Linked DNA regions of Coturnix japonica. The protein of the gene in region 2 interacts with the protein of the main gene of each other region in a biochemical or structural test. Links are inferred from orthologs where the notes say so. Each region holds a gene or a part of one and is shown on either strand. Other genes may lie near its edges. The genes, in order: CHEK2, CDC25A, CCNE1, FBXW11 and YWHAQ.

The links.
Region 1: of the proteins of CDC25A (region 2) and CHEK2, one has a biochemical effect on the other in vitro, tested with the Homo sapiens proteins (5 studies listed by BioGRID, with this or other methods). The link is inferred for Coturnix japonica from reciprocal best matches to the Homo sapiens genes CDC25A and CHEK2.
Region 3: the proteins of CDC25A (region 2) and CCNE1 form a complex in vitro, tested with the Homo sapiens proteins (2 studies listed by BioGRID). The link is inferred for Coturnix japonica from reciprocal best matches to the Homo sapiens genes CDC25A and CCNE1.
Region 4: the proteins of CDC25A (region 2) and FBXW11 form a complex in vitro, tested with the Homo sapiens proteins (2 studies listed by BioGRID, with this or other methods). The link is inferred for Coturnix japonica from reciprocal best matches to the Homo sapiens genes CDC25A and FBXW11.
Region 5: the proteins of CDC25A (region 2) and YWHAQ form a complex in vitro, tested with the Homo sapiens proteins (2 studies listed by BioGRID, with this or other methods). The link is inferred for Coturnix japonica from reciprocal best matches to the Homo sapiens genes CDC25A and YWHAQ.

Annotation. Positions count from the first base shown.
Region 1 is NC_029530.1:6,761,976-6,765,652, reverse strand, and holds the end of CHEK2 (serine/threonine-protein kinase Chk2), read left to right. Parts: intron 1-1,102; coding exon 1,103-1,183; intron 1,184-1,638; exon of another isoform or gene 1,639-1,721; intron 1,722-1,793; coding exon 1,794-1,885; intron 1,886-2,385; exon of another isoform or gene 2,386-2,390; coding exon 2,391-2,400; 3' UTR 2,401-2,673; downstream 2,674-3,677. UniProt on the Homo sapiens protein: Serine/threonine-protein kinase which is required for checkpoint-mediated cell cycle arrest, activation of DNA repair and apoptosis in response to the presence of DNA double-strand breaks.
Region 2 is NC_029517.1:561,096-565,415, forward strand, and holds part of CDC25A (M-phase inducer phosphatase 1), read left to right. Parts: intron 1-617; coding exon 618-752; intron 753-1,346; coding exon 1,347-1,421; intron 1,422-2,522; coding exon 2,523-2,675; intron 2,676-2,955; coding exon 2,956-3,048; intron 3,049-3,381; coding exon 3,382-3,444; intron 3,445-3,543; coding exon 3,544-3,642; intron 3,643-4,195; coding exon 4,196-4,320. UniProt on the Homo sapiens protein: Tyrosine protein phosphatase which functions as a dosage-dependent inducer of mitotic progression. Directly dephosphorylates CDK1 and stimulates its kinase activity. Also dephosphorylates CDK2 in complex with cyclin-E, in vitro.
Region 3 is NC_029526.1:7,172,275-7,177,155, reverse strand, and holds the start of CCNE1 (G1/S-specific cyclin-E1), read right to left. Parts: upstream 3,324-4,881; 5' UTR 2,989-3,323; coding exon 2,975-2,988; intron 2,884-2,974; coding exon 2,793-2,883; intron 2,647-2,792; coding exon 2,578-2,646; intron 1-2,577. Other genes in the region: uncharacterized protein F13E9.13, mitochondrial-like, read left to right, coding at 3,580-3,652, 4,142-4,224. UniProt on the Homo sapiens protein: Essential for the control of the cell cycle at the G1/S (start) transition.
Region 4 is NC_029528.1:13,891,513-13,895,832, forward strand, and holds part of FBXW11 (F-box/WD repeat-containing protein 11), read right to left. Parts: intron 4,221-4,320; coding exon 4,083-4,220; intron 3,791-4,082; coding exon 3,672-3,790; intron 3,238-3,671; coding exon 2,988-3,237; intron 1,838-2,987; coding exon 1,719-1,837; intron 1,164-1,718; coding exon 1,053-1,163; intron 737-1,052; coding exon 658-736; intron 203-657; coding exon 41-202; 3' UTR 14-40; intron 1-13.
Region 5 is NC_029518.1:87,878,912-87,883,029, forward strand, and holds the start of YWHAQ (14-3-3 protein theta), read right to left. Parts: upstream 2,801-4,118; 5' UTR 2,649-2,800; intron 1,771-2,648; 5' UTR 1,680-1,770; coding exon 1,386-1,679; intron 1-1,385. UniProt on the Homo sapiens protein: Adapter protein implicated in the regulation of a large spectrum of both general and specialized signaling pathways. Binds to a large number of partners, usually by recognition of a phosphoserine or phosphothreonine motif.

The DNA.
Region 1 (3,677 bases), on a different chromosome or scaffold from region 2:
AGGTTTTTCTAACTAATGGTCTGTGCTTTCCTACCTCATGCTGCCCTTTCCTCTACTAATGCTCCTGCAGCCAGGCTTCTTTATGCAGAAGTGTGACTAATAACATCCCTATGTCCACTTCTTTCCATTAGTAGCAGCTTCTGGCTTATCACTTCTGGTAGAGAATAAACTATATTATCCAGTAAACTTGTTATGGTAGGGAACAGTGTAGCAATATGAATGGCCTATGGATAATAAATATTTGTTAACAATCATTTGGGTTTTTAAAAGTGAAACCTTCCATTGACAACCTCTAATATGCTCTGTGGATATAGGGTAGAGGTAATGGTGGGGTATTTTAAAAGTAAAAGTTGTTACTGTCATTTTAATATAGATGTTTTAGCTGGTTCTTCTCTACTTAGTGTATACAATAGATTGTTTAGGAGGAGGATGGTGGGTTGGAGATGTGATTAAAAACTACGTGTTGAGATAATGCTAAGCTGGTGGAAATGACAATATTGTTAGAAATGTAAGACTATAAGCAAAATACTTGTTTTTCAAGAGCGAGGAACTTGATTTTGATTAAAGCAAAGTGCCAAGTCCTGATGAGGCCTCTCCTGATGAAACTGACCAGTGAATTATCTGCACAAGCTCCTAGCCCTGTATGTTTTGCTGTTTCAGTACTGTTATACTTCATTGTATGGTATTATCATTTCAGCTTTTGCTTGACTGGTATTAGATAAGTAAGAATAAAGTCTGTGGGGAATAAAGCCGATGTTTCAAAGGACCAACGTCCTGATGATGTGTAACCTACTTGCTGCAAAAATAGTGTCTCCTAATTCCTTTTCTCAGTTGTGTTGTGTTAAGGATAAATTCACCACTTCCTTCACTGGGCCTGGTGTTGGAAACCTTAGAGAAGGAACTGTGACACTGTGCAGTGTTTTACAGCTACCTGGAGCAGTCATTTCAGATCCTTTCTCCTAGCAATACATGCTTTATTTTTCTAACGGTGAGGAGAAGAGTTATATCCCTTTCTCTTTTATTTGTTCCACAATTGCTGGTCCACCTTAAACATTCCTCATAATAATTAAGGCTGATGGTTTGTTTTGTTTTGTTTTAACAGGATGAGGATATGAAAAATACATTTCAACAACTACTTGCTCAGACAGGTGCCACTATGAATCCACCACAAACATCAAAAATGGTATGAATGGTGGATTATGTGAAGATTAATACTTGGTGCCTATGCTAGATTTGAAAGTAAACCATAATAAGAACATGTAATCCTGATAATTTAATATAGAAGTGTACATTATGCCTTTATGTAGCAGTCTATTAATTCTTTCCTGCATTCTTGGTAGAAGAAGTTTACTTTTGTGCTTTGGCAAGATACTTTGAATGTAAAGAAACTGTCTCGTAGGCTTTAAAGGACTACCCATATATTCAAAGTTCTGTACGTGAACATGTCTGTTTGGATGGATTTAAGTCATGAATGTTTAATATTCAAAGGCAAATTCTGATGGCAGTGGAACTTAGTGGTAATGGTGATATTAATTACTAGACAGCAATTAGCATTGTTTTAAACAGCAGTCAAAGCAGGGAGCAACTGAGAAAGAAAAGGGAATAAGGGCAGTGTCTTACATGAGAAGGATCACTTACCATTAGATCACTGGAGAGAAACGCTCGTTAGTCATGCTGCTGTTTCAGTTACAGGAGGGAGACTTTATCCAACATCTGTAATTCTGTAGTAGACAAAACAGTCAAGCTCTGTCTCACCTGATTAATGTAGCCATCCTGCTGCATCTTTCTTTTAGCCGATTGCTATGAGAAAACGTCTCCATGAAAACGAGGATGAATCTGTCCCTTCGAAGCGTGTGGCTCCTTCTACGTCATTTCAGAAAATGAGGTGAAAAAGGGGACTTTTTTTGTTAATTATTGCTTTATTTTATGGAAAGCAGAATTTTTATTTTTGAAAATCCTATTGATGGAATAACGTTTGAAGATGCAATTGATTAAATAAAAACGACTTTGTAAGAATGAAGTAACTGCTGTGTATGCATGGGAATTTACATCAATAGTCATTCTGAAGTTCATCCATCTGTTTGATTCAAGAGGAATGTCAGATGTTTCTTCTTGAATGAAGTTACAAAAAACCTTGAGGCTAATTTCATTCCCATCTACACTTCTGTGCTCTTCTGTTCCAGTTTCTACCTTAGGCTTAAAGGTATTGCTTAGTCCTCCCACCATAGCATTACCTGGCACAAAATGATATCTGTAACCTCCTCATGAAACCTAGAAATAGAAATCCACTATGAGGAGGGCTATGGTTAGAATAATTGTAATCCTTAAGATGCCTGTACTTGCTAACTGTTCTCTTCTTGAAAAGTGTGCACTGTTTTTATTTACCTTAGGATGGACTGAATAAGAAACGTGGTAACCATCTTCCTTACATCATTGGATAAGCTCCTGTAAGAGAAGAACAAGGAATTAAACTGTGGAACAATTTAAAATGTTCTTGTCTGTTAAGTGGAAAAGTTTTTGGACTGTGCGCCAATTGCTAGAGGATATGAATTTAATTATTTAGTAAGAGGGAGCGATTTAATAACTTTGGCCTAAAACCACGCATGTTATGATTAGAGGCATTTACTGTAAATGGATTAGGAGAGAATAAAACCTAATCCATTACAAAACAAAGCACTGTCAAGTATAAATTAAGATAAGACACAAGGCAAGTTTTTCCCCGTTGTGCTTGTTGCAGACAGAGATCATATGCGTTATGAGATACTTGCATCTATCATTGTGAATGGTGAGGAGGCAGTAATTGCATAAACATTTTGCATGCTTGTTTCATGAGGGCCTGCAGTAGAAGTGGTGTCACAGCCTGATACAGTGATGGAGCACCTGGTAGGAAGGCAGGGCCAACCCAGGGGAGTTCAGGTGCAGGCAATGTACCTTCAGTAACTGGAAGGGGTGGAACCAGGATTCAACCCTTCTCAGACCTCATTTAAGGGTTGGCAGTGGAGGTGTGGGTATCTTGCTGGAGAACCCTGCCTATCTGAATTTTTCCCAAGGTAAGAAACTTTTTTTCCCTTGTTTTTGTGTCTTTGGTTGCTGCATTTGGGATCATTTTCATTTCTATAGCCTGGGGTTGTGCTACTTTGCTATTACTGCTGTGCTTTCCATTGTATTACAGTATTACAAGGCCACAAAAAAATGATCCAAGGAATGAAACACCTGCCCTGTAAAAACAGGCCAAGAGAAGAGAAGGCTGGGGAAGGAGCTGAGGATGAGCATTCAGTATCTAAAGCAGCTGTAAGAAAGAAGGAACTGACCCTTTAGAATACATTCTGATAGGACAAGGGGAAATGGTTTCAAACTAAAAGAGAGGAGATTTAGATTGGATATAAGGAAGAAGTTTTACACTAAGGGCACTGCAGATAGTGGGTACGGATGGCCTTCAGTGGTTCCTTCCAGCTCCAACCATTCAATTTCTTTCAACTTGCAGAGCCTGCAGCATTTGGAAGTCTCTGGGTTGGGTGCTGGTTCCGTAAGTGTTAGGTGCTGGTTCCGTAAGTCTGTTGAGTGCATGTTCCTGTGCTTGGTGAGAACAGTGTCATGGTTCGCAGGTAACTGTCCCTGAATCCTCAACAGGCGTGCTGTGGAATACCACTCATCCTAAAGCATTGCTGAGGCTTCTG
Region 2 (4,320 bases):
GTCCTCTGCACACCTGCTGGGAGGAGGAAAAACTATCATGGCCCTGTTCTGAGACAGTGCTGTTAATCACCACTGTTCGTGTGCCCAAAAGGGAAGCTTATCTTTCTATCAGATGCAAAAACTGGTTTTGTCTGGGGCTCAGTATTTGGGCAATACTGAGCTGTGGCTGTGGTGCAGAGCATCCAGTGAGTGTGGGTGTCAGTGCAGAGTAGATGTAGTTGGATCCTTGCACGGAAACAGAGCCTTGGGGGGCAAGTCCTGTCTGTACTTGTTGAATTTGGTAGAGCTTTGTCTTGGTACTCCTGACCTTGTGTTTGTTAACTGCAGTCAGTGTTAGTTCCCATTCTCTGCCATCAGTTGTTTCTCTCCTTTGTAATTCACTATGCAGTGTTTCCAGGAGAGGAGCTCTATTGATTAACCAGGCTAATGGAGCACACTGCTGTAAGGACTAAATAAAATATGAGGGCTTAGTTTGGGGTTTGCTCAGGTCAGTGTATTCAAGGGGCTGGATTAACCACTAACTTGCCTGTACTTCCTGATGGGATGGCATTGTTTCTATCTGCAGCATCCTGCTGTAAAGAGATGGAATGTCATTAAAACTAAATGTTTTGTCTCAGTTTCCCACTCAAGAAATGCCCACGGGTGAAGTGGAAAACTACAGGCCAGCTTTCCTGCAGCAGGCTTCTCTGCCTTCCTCTGAAAGCGAAGATGATGATGGATTCTTGGAGCTCTTAGATGAGCAAGATCTGAAGGTAGGTACAAAAGCAGTGCAATGCTCTTCTAATCAGCTCTGTATAATGTGGCGTCTGCAGCATATGCATGTTCTGGTGGTAATTCAGACTGCAGGTAGGCAGGCATGAGGGATTATTGGAGGACTCAGTGATGTTTCTCAGCTCTTCCATTGTAGTGTCTCTGTTTTATGTGCCGTTCCCTAGTGCAGACAATGGGATTTGCTTGGTGTGTGATCAGCAGTTAGAGAGGTATTGCTGCTGTTCCTTCTGGTGTTTGAATTGTGAATCTATAGAGGGTGATTGAAAGAGTTGGTGTTTTCTATAGAAGTTCTCTGAGGGAGCTAAAGGTAATATTTGCTTTCAGATCACTTAAATAGAAGTCCAGTTCCTAGATGAACTCGACATGCTTAAGGCTTTGGAAGAGCATTGTTTTTAATCAATGAATGAGTTGATTTAGCTTATCCTTTCCAGTGTGGCTCAGCTCATCGCTCAATGAAATAACAGAGCTGGTAATGGAGTTGTTAAAACTGCTCAGGCTTACAGGAGTCTCAGGTGTTTACAGTGTCTGTCAGCAGTGAGGCAGATGAGAGTGAACTTTCTTTCTTTCATTCTCAGAATGATGAGGAGATGCCGTCTGACGTGTCAAGTCTCTGGACTGCACCGCTGGTCACCAGGAGGCCATACAGCCGGGTGAGTGTTGTCCTTGTGTCCATCTGCCCCCCTGGGCCCTGTGGTGGTGGTGGCTCTGATCCTGTACCTCCCATCACAAAACGGGGCAGTGCAAGACCCCTGCAGTATTGTGTTACTGTTAAGCCTGCTGCTTGGGAGATTGTGTCAGTGTAGGATGGTGCTCACAGTGGGTGTGTATCCACGTTAACTTGCTTTTTACAAAAACACTTATAAATGGGAGGAGGTCTTGACTTCTCTTATCAAATACTGGTGTACCTTGAATGCAGCCCTCACAGCCCTACCTGGGATGCCTGTAACCCACACTTCGGATAATAGGCTGTGAGGGCAGTACAGGCTCAGAATCTGCCGTGGTCTGCTGGTTGATACAAAGCGTTCTGCCAGCATGTCATAATGTGCTCTGAGCTCACCCAGTCCTCACAGCCAGAAACAAGTGTTAGTGGGAACATAAGCCCCCAGTGTAGGTGATCCTGAGCACATCCTGCTGTTGCTGTGCTGTGACAGCACCTTAGATGAGCCAAACTTTACTGCAGTCATATCATGTAGAATGGGGAACTCCTGCTAGCATCACAGTCCTGTTCACATGGCAGCTCCTGCATTGCTGGTGCTCTGCAGGCATTTGCAAGGGTGATTCATGCAGAATGGCCAGGGCTGGAAGGGACACCAAGGATCATGAAGCTCCAACCCCCTGCTACAGGCAGGGCCACCAACCTCCCCATTTCAGAGCAGCCCAGGCTGCCCAGGGCCCCATCCAACCTGGCCTTCAACACCTCCAGGGATGGACGGGGCATCCACAGCCTCTGGGCAGCTGTTCCAGCACCTCCCCACTCTCACAGTACACAGCTTCCCCCGACATCCACCCTCAATCTGCCCTCCTTCAACTCCAATCCATTTCCCCTTGTCCTGCTAATATCATATCATCCTGTCATTGAATGGCTTGGGTTGGAAGGGACCCCAAGGATCATCAAGCTCCCACCCCTCTGCTGTAGGCAGGGCTGCCAGCATTTAACGCTAGACCAGGTAGTCTGGAAGTCTGAGGCTTGCTTAGTTTCTCTTAGTTTTTAGTCCTGGTCTTTGCTAGACATCTTCACTGTCTGCCCCCAGGCCAGGCGATGCCGCCTCTTTGGCTCTTCATCTCTGCCCAGCGGCGTAGGCAGAACCACCCAGAAAAGAATGGAGAGGTCCCAAGAGGAGAGTTCTTCAGGGAAAAGCAAGAAGAGGAAAAGCCTACCTGGAGCACAGTCTGAAGACTCAGAGGTTGGTGGCTTGGTGTAGTTTGGTGTTGCGGTGGAGAGTTAGAGCTCAGATAGAGGGGTCTTGTTTGTGAAGGTCAAGGAGGGTGAGTTTACGGGGGGAAGTGCTGGTCTAACAGTGTGGTGTGGGGCTGATGGAGGTGCTGCAGTAGCTGTGTGTTCCTGCATTGATCCTAAAGGGAAGCTGTGCATCAGGCTGTTAGTAAATGCTGACTCTTACCCTGTGGGGAAAGGGTCTCGTACCATCGGTGTTTGGCACTCATCTCTAACCTGTCTTCCTCTAGAACACAAAAATAGTAAAGACGCAATCCTCTGCAGCAGAAATCGAGAGCATTTTGGCCAGTGACCAGAGGGACCTTATTGGTGACTTCTCAAAGGTAATTGATTTGGTTTAATGGTCTCTTTTAGAGAGGTGTTATGAACCAGCCCCAAGTAAAGCGCTTCCCTTCTTCAGAGTACATCCCCCAGTCACTGGTGAAGGCTGCCAGTGAGAATGGTGCTCTCATAGGTCAGTCCTGAAGGATTTCTTCAGGATCTTCAGTGTAGGAGCCAAAGAAAAGCTGTGTCCCTCAACCTTGGGGTTCTGGGGTTTATAAATGCTGTGCTTGGCTCAAGAGATCCTTGTCAGTGCAGTGTTATAGAGCTGGGTGCTGTGCTGCTGTGTGGATTGTGGCTGGAATGTGCTCTGCTAAATGCTGTCTGTTTTCTAGGGTTATTTGTTCCATACTGTCGATGGGAAGCATCAAGATTTAAAATACATTGACTCAGAAATGGTATGTGCTCTGGGGACAGTGGGACGTTCTTTACTGAAATGGTTAAAAAAAAAGCCCTGAAAACAATTAAACGGTGCTTCGTTTGTTTGCTTTTTGCAGATTGTGTCTGTCCTGACTGGGAAGTTTGCAAGCTTCATTAAGGAGTGTGTGATCATTGACTGTCGCTATCCGTACGAGTACGAAGGAGGACACATCAAGGTATGTTGTGGTAGTGGGAGAGTAAGGCAGAGCTGCGTGGAGCAGCAGCCTGGACTCATTGTGCCTGTGTGCTGTGTGGATCTGCACGCACACTTGGTTTGTGGAGTAGCTCTGTAAGGGGGGAACTGCTCCCCTTCTCCTTCTGCAGAGGAGCAGATGAGTGGGCAGGCAGTTCCAGGGGAGGGTGTGTGACCTCCAGTGCTCGGTGTCCTCATCTCTGGGGTACTGAGAGGAGTCTCACAGTTGATTTAAACCACAGTCTTTTGCTATAGAATGAGTGGCTGTGGAGGCTATTAAAGCTTGCTGACCCTCTCTAATACAGTGAGTGAAATCCAGCTGGCTGCTTCTAGCTGCTGATGGGGCCCTCCTGAAGTGGGAGGCAGCGCAGCACTGGGCTGTGTGCAGCATTGCTTTGGTTTGAAGCTCTGTCTGCAGCATCAAGAGAGGGCTGGCAGAGCTCCCCTAGGAGCTGAGGAGAGCTTGCCCTAAAGTGGGGTGCACTCATTGCTGTGCTCCACTTACTGTGTGCTTTTGGGTTTGGCCACCTTCGCAGGGTGCTGTGAACCTCCACATGGAGGAGGATGTGGAAGACTTCCTGCTGAAGAACCCAATCCCTCCCTCGAAGAACAAACGGGTGATCATCGTCTTCCACTGCGAGTTCTCCTCGGAGCGGGGGCC
Region 3 (4,881 bases), on a different chromosome or scaffold from region 2:
TTAAGATCATTAGATAGAAAATTTTGACAACAGTAAGACTAGAATATGGAAAAGTGGCTAATGAGAAATTGATCAAAACTGATTACCGAAAGCTTGCTCTGTCTCCTTTCTATCCAAAAAGATTAGGTAGCCCCATCCCAAGATTTCTTATCATTTCTGGTTTCTGTTCTCCACTCTAGATTCAGGAGAACACGCATTTTCTATCATAATTGCATGGATTACTCTCATCAAGTTAAATGAACTTTGCTTTATGCAAAGCCTTGGAAGTGTATCCATCCATAGAAAGCAGCCAGAATTAATATGAGAATTGCTTACAGAATGACAGCAGTGCCAGTTCTCCAAAATCAAACACAGAATTGATGCAATATTCCGCTGTCACAAACCTCATGATATAGCCACCCTCCCATCACATAAAGGGTAACAGCATTCTGATTAAGAACTCAGGCCTTATGTTCAACAGAAGCAAACTAATGAATTGACTATGAAGATGCCATAAAGTGGGATGTGACTACGATATTTTGCCTCATGTATAACCTAGTGTCAGTAAACAGTTTATTTAATGTAGAAGTCACGTGGAACAGGCTGCAGAGGATTTATAGCTGCTTGCATTTTAGAATTGTTGTGCCTCAACAGAATAACTATCTCACTGGCTATCATACAAGCCTGCGATACTGCTGCTGGAACCATAAACATATTCTCATTAGTGGCCCATGGCAATTTATATCAGAGAATAGCTTGTGTCAAGCCATAGACTGAAGAGCTGCTGCTGTGCAGCCAAATGTTAGCTTTTTTAAACAGATCTGTAACAATCTGGCTACTTTGTCATAACAAAAAAACCTTCTCTGTGTAGAGACTGATACACAGGTATCCATTTTTATCTACAGTTTACAGAATCAAAGGGCCAAAGTCCCACCAGCGTCCTGAAGACAGCTTGGAAAATTCCTAAATTAATACTTTGGATGCCTCCTGCCTGAGTTATCTGAATATTGCTATACCTATCGTTCCTGAAGTAGCATTTAATAGCAACACCATATAGAAAGAAAAAGAAAAAAGAAAAAGCCCCAGTAAATTGGAAGCCTGTATCCCTGTATCTACTTCCAAAGCTGAAGATCAATGTATGCAAAATATATTTCAAGCCGCTTTTCAAATTACAATTGCAATAAGGGTTTTTTCAATGGTACCTTATTATTATGGAATAAACATTTATTAGAAGCTCTTCCAGAATGTTTTGCTAAAGGAGGGGTCTGCAGTGAAGGACAGGCAGCTCTTCCTTGTCAGTAGTGAGAAATTAGTTTAATATACTGCACAAAAGAAAGACAGAAGGGAAGGAGAGATCCCCTCATTAAATGCTCACCATTTGAGCCCTGCTTAATATGTTGACTGATAACTAGTGTACGCAGTTGCAACAAGCAGAGGCCATTCCAAACAATGATGCCCATCTGTTATGGTAGCACTTCAGTCTTAGAACTTCCAGCTGCCACTTCTGGTTAGATGTGCCACATTATGCATAGCCTCGCGTACCAAATGAGTACTGTCTGTACTCCCTGATCATGACTTTTGCAGCTTAAGTATCACCCTGCATGTGCATTAACTGGCTGAAGTCCTTGCAACAGAGTGAGTGAGCATGTGTGTGCATATGCACAGGAGAGAATCATAAACAAGAATAAACCTACTTCCGAGAGGCTGATTTTGCTCTTTTATTTAGAGCAAGCATCTCAATGCACAAAGGCATCTTGCTTTCAATACCAGATACCAATAAAGCACCCAATATAAACACGACTAACGTATCAAGATTGAAGAACTTAAGAACAGCACTAAGAAGTTTAGGGGATGCTACTGGAGTTCAGTCTGACTTAGTAACTTGGATCATGCCAAGTGTCCTATTTGGAAACTGGCACTGGCCACCAACCCCAGCGAGCAGCCTCATTTGTTCTTTGGCCTACAGTATAAAAGGCTTTTAACAAATCATCCCTTTCATCTGCAGAAGCCTAAAGCCCACATCACCACCACAGTAGTATCCAGTACTATAAACTCCTAATCTGGAACTTCAAGTACTCCCTCGACCTAATAAAAACACTTGCCAATGAGAATAGAGCTAACTAAGAGGAACAAGTGATCTTTCCTCTCTCCCAGGTTATATGTAAGCATAAGACAGGGTTACAAAGAGATCCATCTCAAAACTTGGTTCTGTTTGCGTGCCAAAGGGCTGCATGCTTTGGCCTGCGGGATACAGCACGTAAGTGAACCACTGAACTCCTACAAGGCTCCAGGTACGTCAGTGTGGAAAACTAAGTGTGTATGAAGGCTTTTGTAGGGCACAGCCTGGCAGCCCCGGGACATTTAGGTACACTGAAGCATTCACGTAATGGTTTAAAGCAGTGTAGGCTTCATCCCTTGCAAAGGCTCCAAAGCAGGCCATGCCACTAAGGTGGTTTGTGGCCTTCAACAGCCTGGGCTGGTGGTCCCCTCAACCACCACCACACAACACGGGGTAACTGCATATCTGTGTAATACCAACATCCTGCACCAACAGGCTACTAAGACCAAAGGAAGGTGATCTAAGGCCACAGTCATTACCTGGCTTTCATATTGCTTTTTCCTACTCATTTCAATTTTGGCAACTTCTTCATCGGGATCCTGTAGGAACTACAAAAAGAAAAGAAGGGATTTAGGGCCGCTCACCCCCCCTGCAGCACATGGCCACCCACCCCCCAACAAAAGGCCGCGGGAGCAGCTCCAGGCCCGCACCGCCCTCCAGGCCGTGCCGTGCCGCCCGCCGGGCCTGCACTCACCGTGGCCACATCGGCTTTTCTCTTGCGGGCCCGCACGGTCCCCTCGGCGCCCCCTTCCCCCTTGGCGGGAGCCTTCTCCTCCGCGCAGTCGCTGCCAAGAAACGAGAAGCGTTAAGAAAGAGCCGCCCACCCGGCCTCGCTAACGGAGAAGCCGGCCTACCCGCAGGGCCGGCCGGACTCACCTCTCCCTCCGCATGCTGCCCGCCGCCGGACCGAGAGCACGAGCGGAGCCGGGAGCCGCAGCCCCCACAAAGAGCCACGAGGCGCGGAAAGGCCCCGCCGCGCCCCGGGACCCGCTGAGCGCTCAGCACCCCGGAGCTTCCCCGGACACAGCGCGGGCGCGGCGCTCGGTGCCCGCCCGACGGCGGCGGGGACGAGGCGGGGCAGCTCGTGCGGGGCACGGCACCGACTGCGGGCACCAACCGCGGGCAGCTCCTGCCTCACGGCGCGGCCGCTCCCGTCCCTGCGCACATCGCGGCCCGCACCGAGCGGGACATTTAAACGCGCGGCGCGGGGCCGCCTCCCGCCCGCACACGTGGCCCCGCGCCCAGAGCCGGGGGCCGGCACCCGGGTGGGGCGGGGTCTGCGGGCGCGCTCCGGCCCCGGGGGAGCGCGGGGCACCGCGGGGAGCGGGATCACACGGTGTGAGCAGGGGCGGGGCCGGCGGCACCGGGCGGAAGCGGAGCTGGGAGGGGGGCGGGAGGCCCCGGGCGCGACCCCGCGGCGGAGGGGTGAAGCGAGGTGAGCGGCTGAGCCGACGGCAGCGGGACCAAAGACACGGGCTGCCATGGCGGGGCCGCGGCTCTTCGGGCGGCTGCGGGCGGCGGTGCTCGGCGTGGTGCATGTGGCTGCGCTGCCAGGTGAGCGCGGGGCGGGACGGGGAACACGCGGCGCTGCGGGACCCGCTCGCAAAGTGGGCGGCATGGCTGTAGGGGTCGGGGGAAGAACGGGCACCTGAGGGAACCCGCAGCGCTGGGGGAGCGCTCAGAGAGATGAGGGATGACGAGATATAGGCCGGGCGGAGTGCACAGGCCTCGGGACAGCTCGGACACGTGGCTCCCTGTGGTGCTGCGTCCGGCCCGAGTTCTCATGGCTGTGTGCCGGGCCGTAAAAGAGCTGAAAGTGCCGGTACAACACCGCATCAATACCCTCAGATCTGTGAGTGGCTTCAGGAGCGAGCAGATACAGCTGAGCTGTGACGTTCAGCAAAGGGGAGCACATCTCGTTTAACTGTTTTACCCCATTTCTCTCTATTTTATTATGTCAGCGCATATAACTGCGTTATCAGAAAAGCATCACTGGCTGTATGGCTTGCCTTCACATTGGGGTAAATGGCACTGTTGTTGCAGGGACACCGAGAAATTCTCTTCCGTTGGCACAAATAATTGAGCAAGCTTGTCAAGAAGCAGAAGATTACAAGGATGCTGGAGTTGTAAGTCCTGGTTTCCTTCTTCCCGTGGCAGTATTTACACAAAGCTGCTTCTGCACACCCAGTGAATTGAATTGAGTCTGAGTGACCTAGAAATCATGGAAAGCACCTAAAACCACCGAGTTCAGGAAGACATTTAAACCTGCACCTTTTATTTCCACACAAGTAGGCCCTCCAAGTATCAAAACCTGAACTACACAACACACACACCCTGTGGAACTGGAAAAGCTTAGATTCAAACTAATTTGAGTCTTTTAAATAGGATTACTATCAATTCCCAAGAATCAAGTCAATAAAAGAGAAAAAAAAATAAAACAGATGGAAAACTGACAGCAATATGAACTGTTGCTGGCATTCTAGGTATCTGGATGTAGGATGCTTCATCATCCAGTCTGACAAGCTGCTTTACTTAGCTCTGCTTGGCACACTGCGTTCATGAAATCATGGCACAGACATACGTACTGAATGACTTGCCTACAGGCTGTAGGATTTCCCCACAGTTTGTGTTTGTACTGCAGTAGCATTATTCTACAACCAAAAGATTCTCCTAGGTCCTTCTCTGCCCACTGTAATCCTTGGATCCTAGTCCATGGGAGCAGCCATTCCTGCTTTGACCGTTCTAGGTGGAGGCAAGAGAAGGCTACTGCTGAACCACCATTG
Region 4 (4,320 bases), on a different chromosome or scaffold from region 2:
GACAAAGACTTACCTTCTGAGGGTAGTAAAGTGCAGACTGTTATCTGGAGATGTAAGTGTATGTTCTAGATGGAGAGCGAGTCTCGTTTGGGGCACTGGGTGGCACGTTTAAGAAATCCCAAATCAGAATTGTATCGTCATGGGAACTACTAATGATCTGAAATTCATCAAACTGGAGCCTAAAGACACGTCCTGAATGTTCCTGTGAGTAATGGACATCAGTTAGGAGGCCAAGAAGAGGATAACAATTCATTATGTTTGTACTCAGACCTGGATGCAGAATGGTGTATTAAAATTTTGGTGCTCTGTTTAAGAAGCCCTTAGTTATAATCACACTTGACTCTAAAGAAAAGCAGTTTTCATACATAAACGTTGTTCAGCATAACACACAGCTTTCAAATAAAGTACTCATAAGCCCTGCCTCTCCCCTGCAGGGGCCCACTGCACATGTTGAGGCTGACATTATTAAGACTAACACAGTCTATCAGGAAGCATCGATCTACAAAGACTGGCTGGCAATAACGGTCCACACCAGGGGTTCCATCTTACATAACATTTCACATTCAACACTGCTGCTAACCCAGTTTTTGTACACATCATGGCTTCACCTAGGACACACTGCTCAAATCCTCAAATTAATTAATTAATTATACATACCACTAACGTACGCAAGCATAATGTACTTGCTGGGGCACGGGGGTCAAGAGCAGCTTGCAAGTCCCAAACTTTAATTTTGCTATAAAGAAAGATAAGAAGGTTAAAAGCATTGTTTCAAGTGTAAGCACAGAAACTTCTAAAAGCAATGGACAGAATATTCCAGATCTTCCCTCCAGCTGATTTATCAGCATCGAGCAAAATGTTATAATTTATCTTCACTAATTTACTAAAGCTGAATCCCATAAAACACGGGCAGTTTTGTATTTCTTTTAAGCAGCAAATACAGTGATGTCTTTGTGATGGCCCAAGTGGGTTGTTTATACTCAAGACCAACTAACTACATTTGTATACACAAGTCAGTTTGGAACCTTTTGAAATAGCTCTTAGAAACATACCCATCATAGGCTCCACTAACAATCCTCTTATTGTCGAACCTGATGCATCGGACCAGTTCTTCATGGCCTTCTAATACCCTTAAACAGGCACCACATTCAATGTCCCATAACCTTAAAAGAACAGAAGAAAGCCTGAGCATTTCAGGTTCAAGGCTATCCCTTTACCTTACACACAGTGATTTCAGCATACTACTGAATGGGTTCCTGCAGAAAATACCACAATTTGCAAAAAAGAGCAGCTGGTAGAACTAGATTTTCCTTGTATGCAATTCAGAGAAAACTGCATTGCAGCTGCAGTACATAAAAACTAATCTAGACATTCAAAATTACATTAAGTAAAGGTTGTACACTTGCTAGATTATTTTAAGAAACCTTAACATACTTTTCTGTCCTGCATAAATCAGTAATTACTAAAGGTTCAGAAAGCATGAAAACCAGTGACCAATGTCTCCATCTCTCAAGTAGAAAACAAGGTCATAAACTACAGGAATAGAGGGTTTTGTTTCCCTCCATCTGAACCTCACAGTCTCACTTTTTCACATGGATGTGACATATTAACTAGTTGAACAGCATCTGCTTCAATGGCAAGATATACTGAAAATGGTTTGCATGAGTTATCATGTGTAAATGTACATAGATACATACTGACAGCCTGCTGGCACCCACCTAATGGTATTGTCAGAAGATCCACTGACAACCAGTCGATCCCTGTACTGCAGGCATGCGATGCCACGCTTGTGCCCATTTAGCGTACGAACAAACTCGCACGTACTTGTACTCCAGACCTACGAAACATGAGAATCATGCTCAATAAAGGTTTCTGACTTCCAACAGAAGCTGTTACAAACTCATAAGCAGAAGCCTGAGGCTGACTTCTGCTGGACAGCAGAATGAAATCTTCCATAGTGTTTTTGCAGGTAAAGAGGAGGCACGTGGTGTAAGTGGAGGATGGCATTACAGAGCCTAGCAATGACAAGAGACATCAGCTCTGCTATTGTACATAGTGTCAATGAGAAAGACTGGGAGGTTGGAAGTAGAGGGCATACGTAAAATATTTTCAAGTAGCAGGTGATACTGGTCCAAACGACCTTGAAAGGCTGATGACACTTAAATCTTGGTAAGTTAGTAATCCTTTAAAAGAGAGGATGTTACCTCATATGCAAAAATAAGCTGTATTTTTTTACCAAATTAACTGCTAGCAATCTGCTTCTAAGAGAAGACCAAAGCCACGGCCTATTAAAGCCTGTGGCTGCTTCTTCTTTTAATGTTTTTGATGAAATTTGTTCATTTTTTAATGAACTGTTATTGAAGTTGTAACATAAAGGGCTCATGTAAAGTAGCTCCTTTTCCAAAAGAAGTGCAGTGGGTTTCTTGGCAGATATTCAGACATGGAACTGCCAAGAGCTTTTTGGCACATTCCAGGGTAGCTCTGGTGGTAGAGAAGGAAGGGTGGAAACGCTTTTGTTATATTGATACACTTTGGGTAACTCAAATTTTCTGGTATGTAAATTTTTCAAAATACAGCATTTTAATTCTTTAAACACAGCAAAGTCTGGTTTAGCTGGGAAGGTGTGGAATGGAAAAGCAACTGCTGATAAATTTCATGTCTGGAACAGGACTGCCAATTGAAATAAAAAAACTGACGTTTGGAAAAAGGCACAAAATGTGCCACATTTAACAAACAAATCCAACTTGAGATTAGAGTAGGCTTTACTTTTTTGGAGCTGTACAACAGTTACAACAAAAACGTTACAAGACTTGTTATGAGCAAGAAGACATTAACAACTAGTAGGAGGAAGCAGCCAGCTGAATGCTAAGGAGAAAGGCACAGAACTGTTTACAAAAACCTTGGCTACTCCAATTTGAATTGTAACTTTCAGAAGCTTTTCTGGCTTAGTAGGCATTCAGACCCACAGGAGAGTTCAGCCAACTTACTTTAATGGTCCTGTCACCTGATGCTGACACAATATACTTGTCATCGAAGTCTACCACGTTAACAGCAGCACGATGGCCAACCAAGACACGGCGCAGGGTGATGTCAGTAGGTGATGCCATATCCCAGACAGCAATGGATCTGTCCTTTGAGCATGTCACCATTAAGCCATTACTGAACCTCAAATGAAGCACTGCTTCATTGTGGTGAATCAACGTGTTCAGAACTTCACCTGTATTTACATCCCAAACCCTGCAAAAGAAAAGAATTTTATCCCAAATGAAGGAACTACATTATGCATATTTGAAGTCTTGTGTTTGTTGCTCCACATACAAAACCTCCTTTCATTATAGGTCATAACTAAAGTATGTCAGAAGGTGATGTAAGAAACCTAAATGAGGTATTCACCATGTATTTGATGCATCAGCCATTCTACTTCATGTTGTGCTTTGAATGATACGGGTCACATTCCTTCACAATGCTTAACACCACAAAGCATGAGACAGACTGGGGAAAAAATGACTGAACATGATGCTTTCCCACGTGCAAACACCTTATTTTTGGAATAGTGGTATCACACTCACACGAGGGATGTTTTCTGATATTTGAAGATTATTACAAATATTCCCAACCCCAATTTCACTTTTTTTTAGGTTTTTTTTTTTGCCCCAAAACTTAACACTCACCTCACTGTAGAATCTGAAGATCCAGTTACAATGACCCTTTCATCATACTGCAGACAAAGAACTGAGCCAGTATGTCCTGTTAATACTTTCAAACACTCCAAGCTTGTTTTGTCCCAAATCTGTCAAAAAAATAAAAATAAAATCTATAAACATCTTGCCAAGAACACGGGTTCAAAAAACTTGAATACTGCTGCTACTTAGAGGAAATGAAGAAACCTGGACACAGCAGCAAGAACCCTTGGCTGCATGTCCAGACAGCAACTTTTGTCCTCTCTTCTAACTTGGGGAGTCTCCTTGATGGAAGCTTTTGGCATTACAGCAAAACAACCAAGGATTGTGAAAAGACAAAAACCTGTTTTACAAGAAGAAATGCTGGGGCACTTATAAAGGAAAGACCAAAAAAGCATTTACCTTAATGGAGTTATCTCGTAGGCCACTGATTATCTTTTCATCATCATACTGTAAACAGTAGACACCTTTGCTGTTTTCAGAGCGGCACTGAATCCTTTGCAAATTATGTCGCCCACATCGCCAGTTAGATTCTATAGTCTAACAAGAGGTGAAACAACAGGAGTTAGTCACGAGGCTGCATGCTCCAGTGTGGTTACTTCAACAGAAGCCCAGCAAATCTATTCTCACTGTTACAGAG
Region 5 (4,118 bases), on a different chromosome or scaffold from region 2:
TTCTTTACTAGGAGAGTGGTTAGGCCCTGGAACAGGCTGCCCAGGGAGGTTGTGGATGCCCCATCCTTGGAGGTGTTCAAGGCCAGGTTGGACGGGGCCCTGGGCAACCTGATCTAGTAAAGGTGTATGTTTGGTGGCCCTGCCAGGCAGGGGGGTTGGACTTGCTTGTTTCTTGAGGTCCCTTCCAACCCGGGTCATTCTGTGATTCTGTGATTTTATAGAAGGCCTCTGACTCACAGTTAGAAACGAATCCAGGAGGCAGCATGTGAGGAAGCACACAGTATTTTCAATACAATCCAAAGCACCCTTGTACATGAGCCAAAACACTTCTCAAGATGCAAAATCCATTACTTCCAAACCAGCCATCTTTAACCTCAGGTCTCCTAACCCGATTCAGGGTTAAATCAAAAACTGTTTATTTCCTTACTCACTTCCTTTCTCATGCTTGCAATACTAGACATCAAAAATACACAGCTTAACCACTGAAGATGACATGCCACACCATCAGCACTGCACTACACACACACAGCTTCCTGCAGTCAGTAGACCCTGATCACACACAACAGGCTTGCACACTTCCCATGTTGCTGACACAGGTCTGTGGAGCTCCTGCTGCACTGCAATGCTGCTTCACCATCAACAGCATCTGGAATTCTGCTCCTCACATGGAAATATATTGCTGGGCTTTGAAACATGCCCAGGTGCACAATACCTGTCATGGAATATCCTGTTTCCAAGCCACAGTTGTGCATTAGTCCAAAATAACTGCAAATTCACTTTTAACAGCCCCCACTAAATCAACTTGAGTGTGACAAAGCAGATTTCTACCTTTTTCTTTCCTACTTTCAAGGAAGATGTCTTCCTTTATGAAATCATACCTTATTACCTAGGAAAGAAAATCTAAAAAATGCCTCTTTAAGGCCTTTAAAGAGTGTTTTTCCTCACATGAAGCAGCACATTAAATGAACGCCATTAATTTAAATGCATTTAACAGGTTACTAGCACCAACCTTCAGAAATAAAGGGCTTTCATTTTCTTTTCAGCTTACCTTGTGAAGATTAGCTTACAAACCAAAGCACAAGCCTAAATTCCCTGCATCTCTGTGCTCAGCTAGCGTAGTACTGCACACAGGTAACTCCATCAGATGTGCATCTCAAACACAGCTTAGCACACCTCGATTACTTCTGCATATACAGCACCCGCAGCAAAGTGCAGATGATTTTCTGTCTCAAAGTAACCAATATGGCAGCTGCAAAAGTTACTGAACTACCCACTCCAGCATAATAGCTCACATAGTGCCCAGCCCATTTCCCACCCTCCTCAAAACAGCAGCATCCCGCTTCTCTCTTTTGATAAAACACGGAAAAAGGAAAGGCCCCACTCACCAGCACCGTGGTGCAGATGGACCTGAGCTCAGACTCCACCTTCTCCCTATAGTCCTTGATAAGCTGCATCTTCTTGTCGCTGGTGTCTGTCTTTTGCTCGATGCTGGAGATAACCCTCCAGGCAGAGCGTCGCCCCCCCACCACATTCTTGTAGGCCACCGAGAGCAGGTTGCGCTCCTCGTTGGACAGCTCAGCCCCCTGTTCCGTCACCGCCTTCATGCAGGTGGCCATGTCGTCATAGCGCTCAGCCTGCTCCGCCAGCTTGGCTTTCTGGATCAACTCGGTCTTATCCATGGTGGCCGGCGGCAGGACGAGGGCAGTGTTGTAGCAAAGGCAGGAGAAGCTGAGGACGTCACTCTGCCAGCAAGAGAACGAGCCTCAGAGCCTGCCAGGAGAAGGACAGCAACCGTGACTCCAGGAGCCAACGCTGTGGATGGTGTCCTTGCAGCCCCCTTACTGGGACTGTAGGGAGCTCCCCATTCCCAAGTACATCCCATGGCGCAGCACTGGCACCGTCCCTCCCTTGGGCAGAAGCAGGCACTGGTACCGGGCCCACCCTGGGGAAGCAACAGCCCAGAAACCCAGCCGGGGATGGGTCACAGTCCCTCGGCCAGAGGACCGAGCACCGGGCAGTCGTACCAACGTACCACAGCGGCTTTTGTCCTTACTGTGCCAACACACTTAAGAGCTGCTCAATGGAGCCGCACAGCAGGACACCCAGCTCCCAGGCAGCCCGAGGGCCTTCCCCACGTGCCTTCACCCCGCAGGGGAGGGCAAAGAAAAAGGAGGAAACAGAAAAAAAAGCTATTTAAAAAGAAAGAAAGGAGAACAGCGCGCTCGGAGCTGAGGCCGCAGCTCAGCGGGGCTGGAGACAACGCCGGGGCCGGGCGGGGCCGGGCGGGCAGCTCGGGCCGCTTCGCCTCCTGGCGGCGGGGCGAGGCGGGACCATCCCCCCGGCGGGAGCGGCCCCGGCCCCGGCACGGAGCCCCTCCATTCCCGGCCGCTGGGTGGGGTCGGGGCCCGGCGGCTCCGCGTTGGCCTCGTCCCCGGGGACCGCGAAGCGGGGGGCGGCGGAGCGGGACGAGCGTGGCCGGGCGCGGAGGACGAAGCCCCGGCGGGTACGAAATGGCGGCGCCGCCCGGCGGCTCGTTCCGCAACCCGGCACCGCCGAGCGCTCCACGCCGCGCTCACAAAATGGAGGACGCGGCGCCGAGGCGGGGCACGGCGGCACGGCCGGCGGGAAGCGGCCCACGCCGCGCTCACCTGAGTCCGCTGCGCTGCGCTGCGCTAGGCCGGGCCGGGCCGCACCCGATCGGCTGCGCCTCGCTCGGGATGTGGCGGAGAGAAAGAGCCGCTCCCGAAGCGGGCGAGAGCCAGCGCTAAAGGGCGTTGGCACGGCCGAGCCTACCCGCCGCTCGGCCCGCGCCCACGCGGCCAATCGCGGCCTCTCCTGCGAGCCAGGCCCCGCCCCTCCGCTCCCCGCCGGCCAATCCGAGGGCAGCGCGCCGCCGCGGGGGCGAGCGCGGGCAGGGCGCGAGCTCGGTTGGCCCGTGGGCTGCGGCTGGGGCCACGGGGTTTCCTCCAATTAGATCCAGGGTGAGATGACGTCACTGTCGCCATGGCGATACTGCTACAACCCCCCCCCCGCCCAACCCCCGCTCCACCACGGTGGGTCGGCACCGACACGGCGCGGGAACGGGCGGGGGCGGCCGGCGGGGGCTGCCCGTGCTGTGGGGGCTGCCCGTGCTGTGGGGGCTGCCCGTGCTGTGGGGGCTGCCCGTGCTGTGGGGGCTGCCCGTGCTTTAGCTCCCTGGCTGTGTCGCCATGGGGCCGTGCGGGGCGGGCTCGGTGCCCCCTCCGTAGGGCGGCTGTGGGAGGACACAGTGCGTGGTGCCGAGGCTGGGCTGCGGGCTGGGCTGCCCGGCGCCCTCCCGGCGCGTTGTCTCCTGTCAGGAATGCTGCCTTTGTGCCGCCGCTCGGTCGGGCGAGAGATTTCAGAGAGAGGGAAGATTTAGGTTGGATGTTAGGGGGAAGTTCTTCACTAGGAGAGTGGTTAGGTCCTGGAACAGGCTGCCCAGGGAGGTTGTGGATGCCCCGTCCTTGGAGGTGTTCAAGACCAGGTTGGACGGGGCCCTGGGCAACCTGATCTAGTAAAGGTGTATGTTTGGTGGCCCTGCCAGGCAGGGGGGTTGGAACTACATGATCCTTGAGGTCCCTTCCAACCCGGGTCATTCTGTGAGCTGTGCCCCAGGAGCCCGGTGACAGGAAATTGCTCGTGAAGAGTTAATGGCGCTGTGCCGTGGGGCCCTGAGCGGGGAGCGACCCGCGCTGACATCAGTAACCATCGATGTCCATTGGTCCTAAAGGCCTCAGGCTCAAACCTCCCTTCAAACAGCACAGTGTCTACGTGAAGCAGTGAAATCCCTCACCTTTGCTTCCAGCATCACCAAATTTAGTCATGTCCTGCTACTCCAGCATCCTGAAGGGATGATGAATGCTCTGAATCACCTCAGGATGTTGTCGTCTCAGCTCGGAGTGCTCCTGTCTGTGTTCAGATAGGGCTGTGATGAGGCATGTGGGCATTAGGTCTGTGCTGTGAACCGACACTGCCGGTCATTTCAATGGAGGGATGCATTTACTCTGTTAAAAAAAAAGGTGCCTATTGGTAATGCTCCTCATGAAGTTAATGAAACTCTTTCAGAAAGAATTACTGTGTTGGTCTTGTTATTTAAA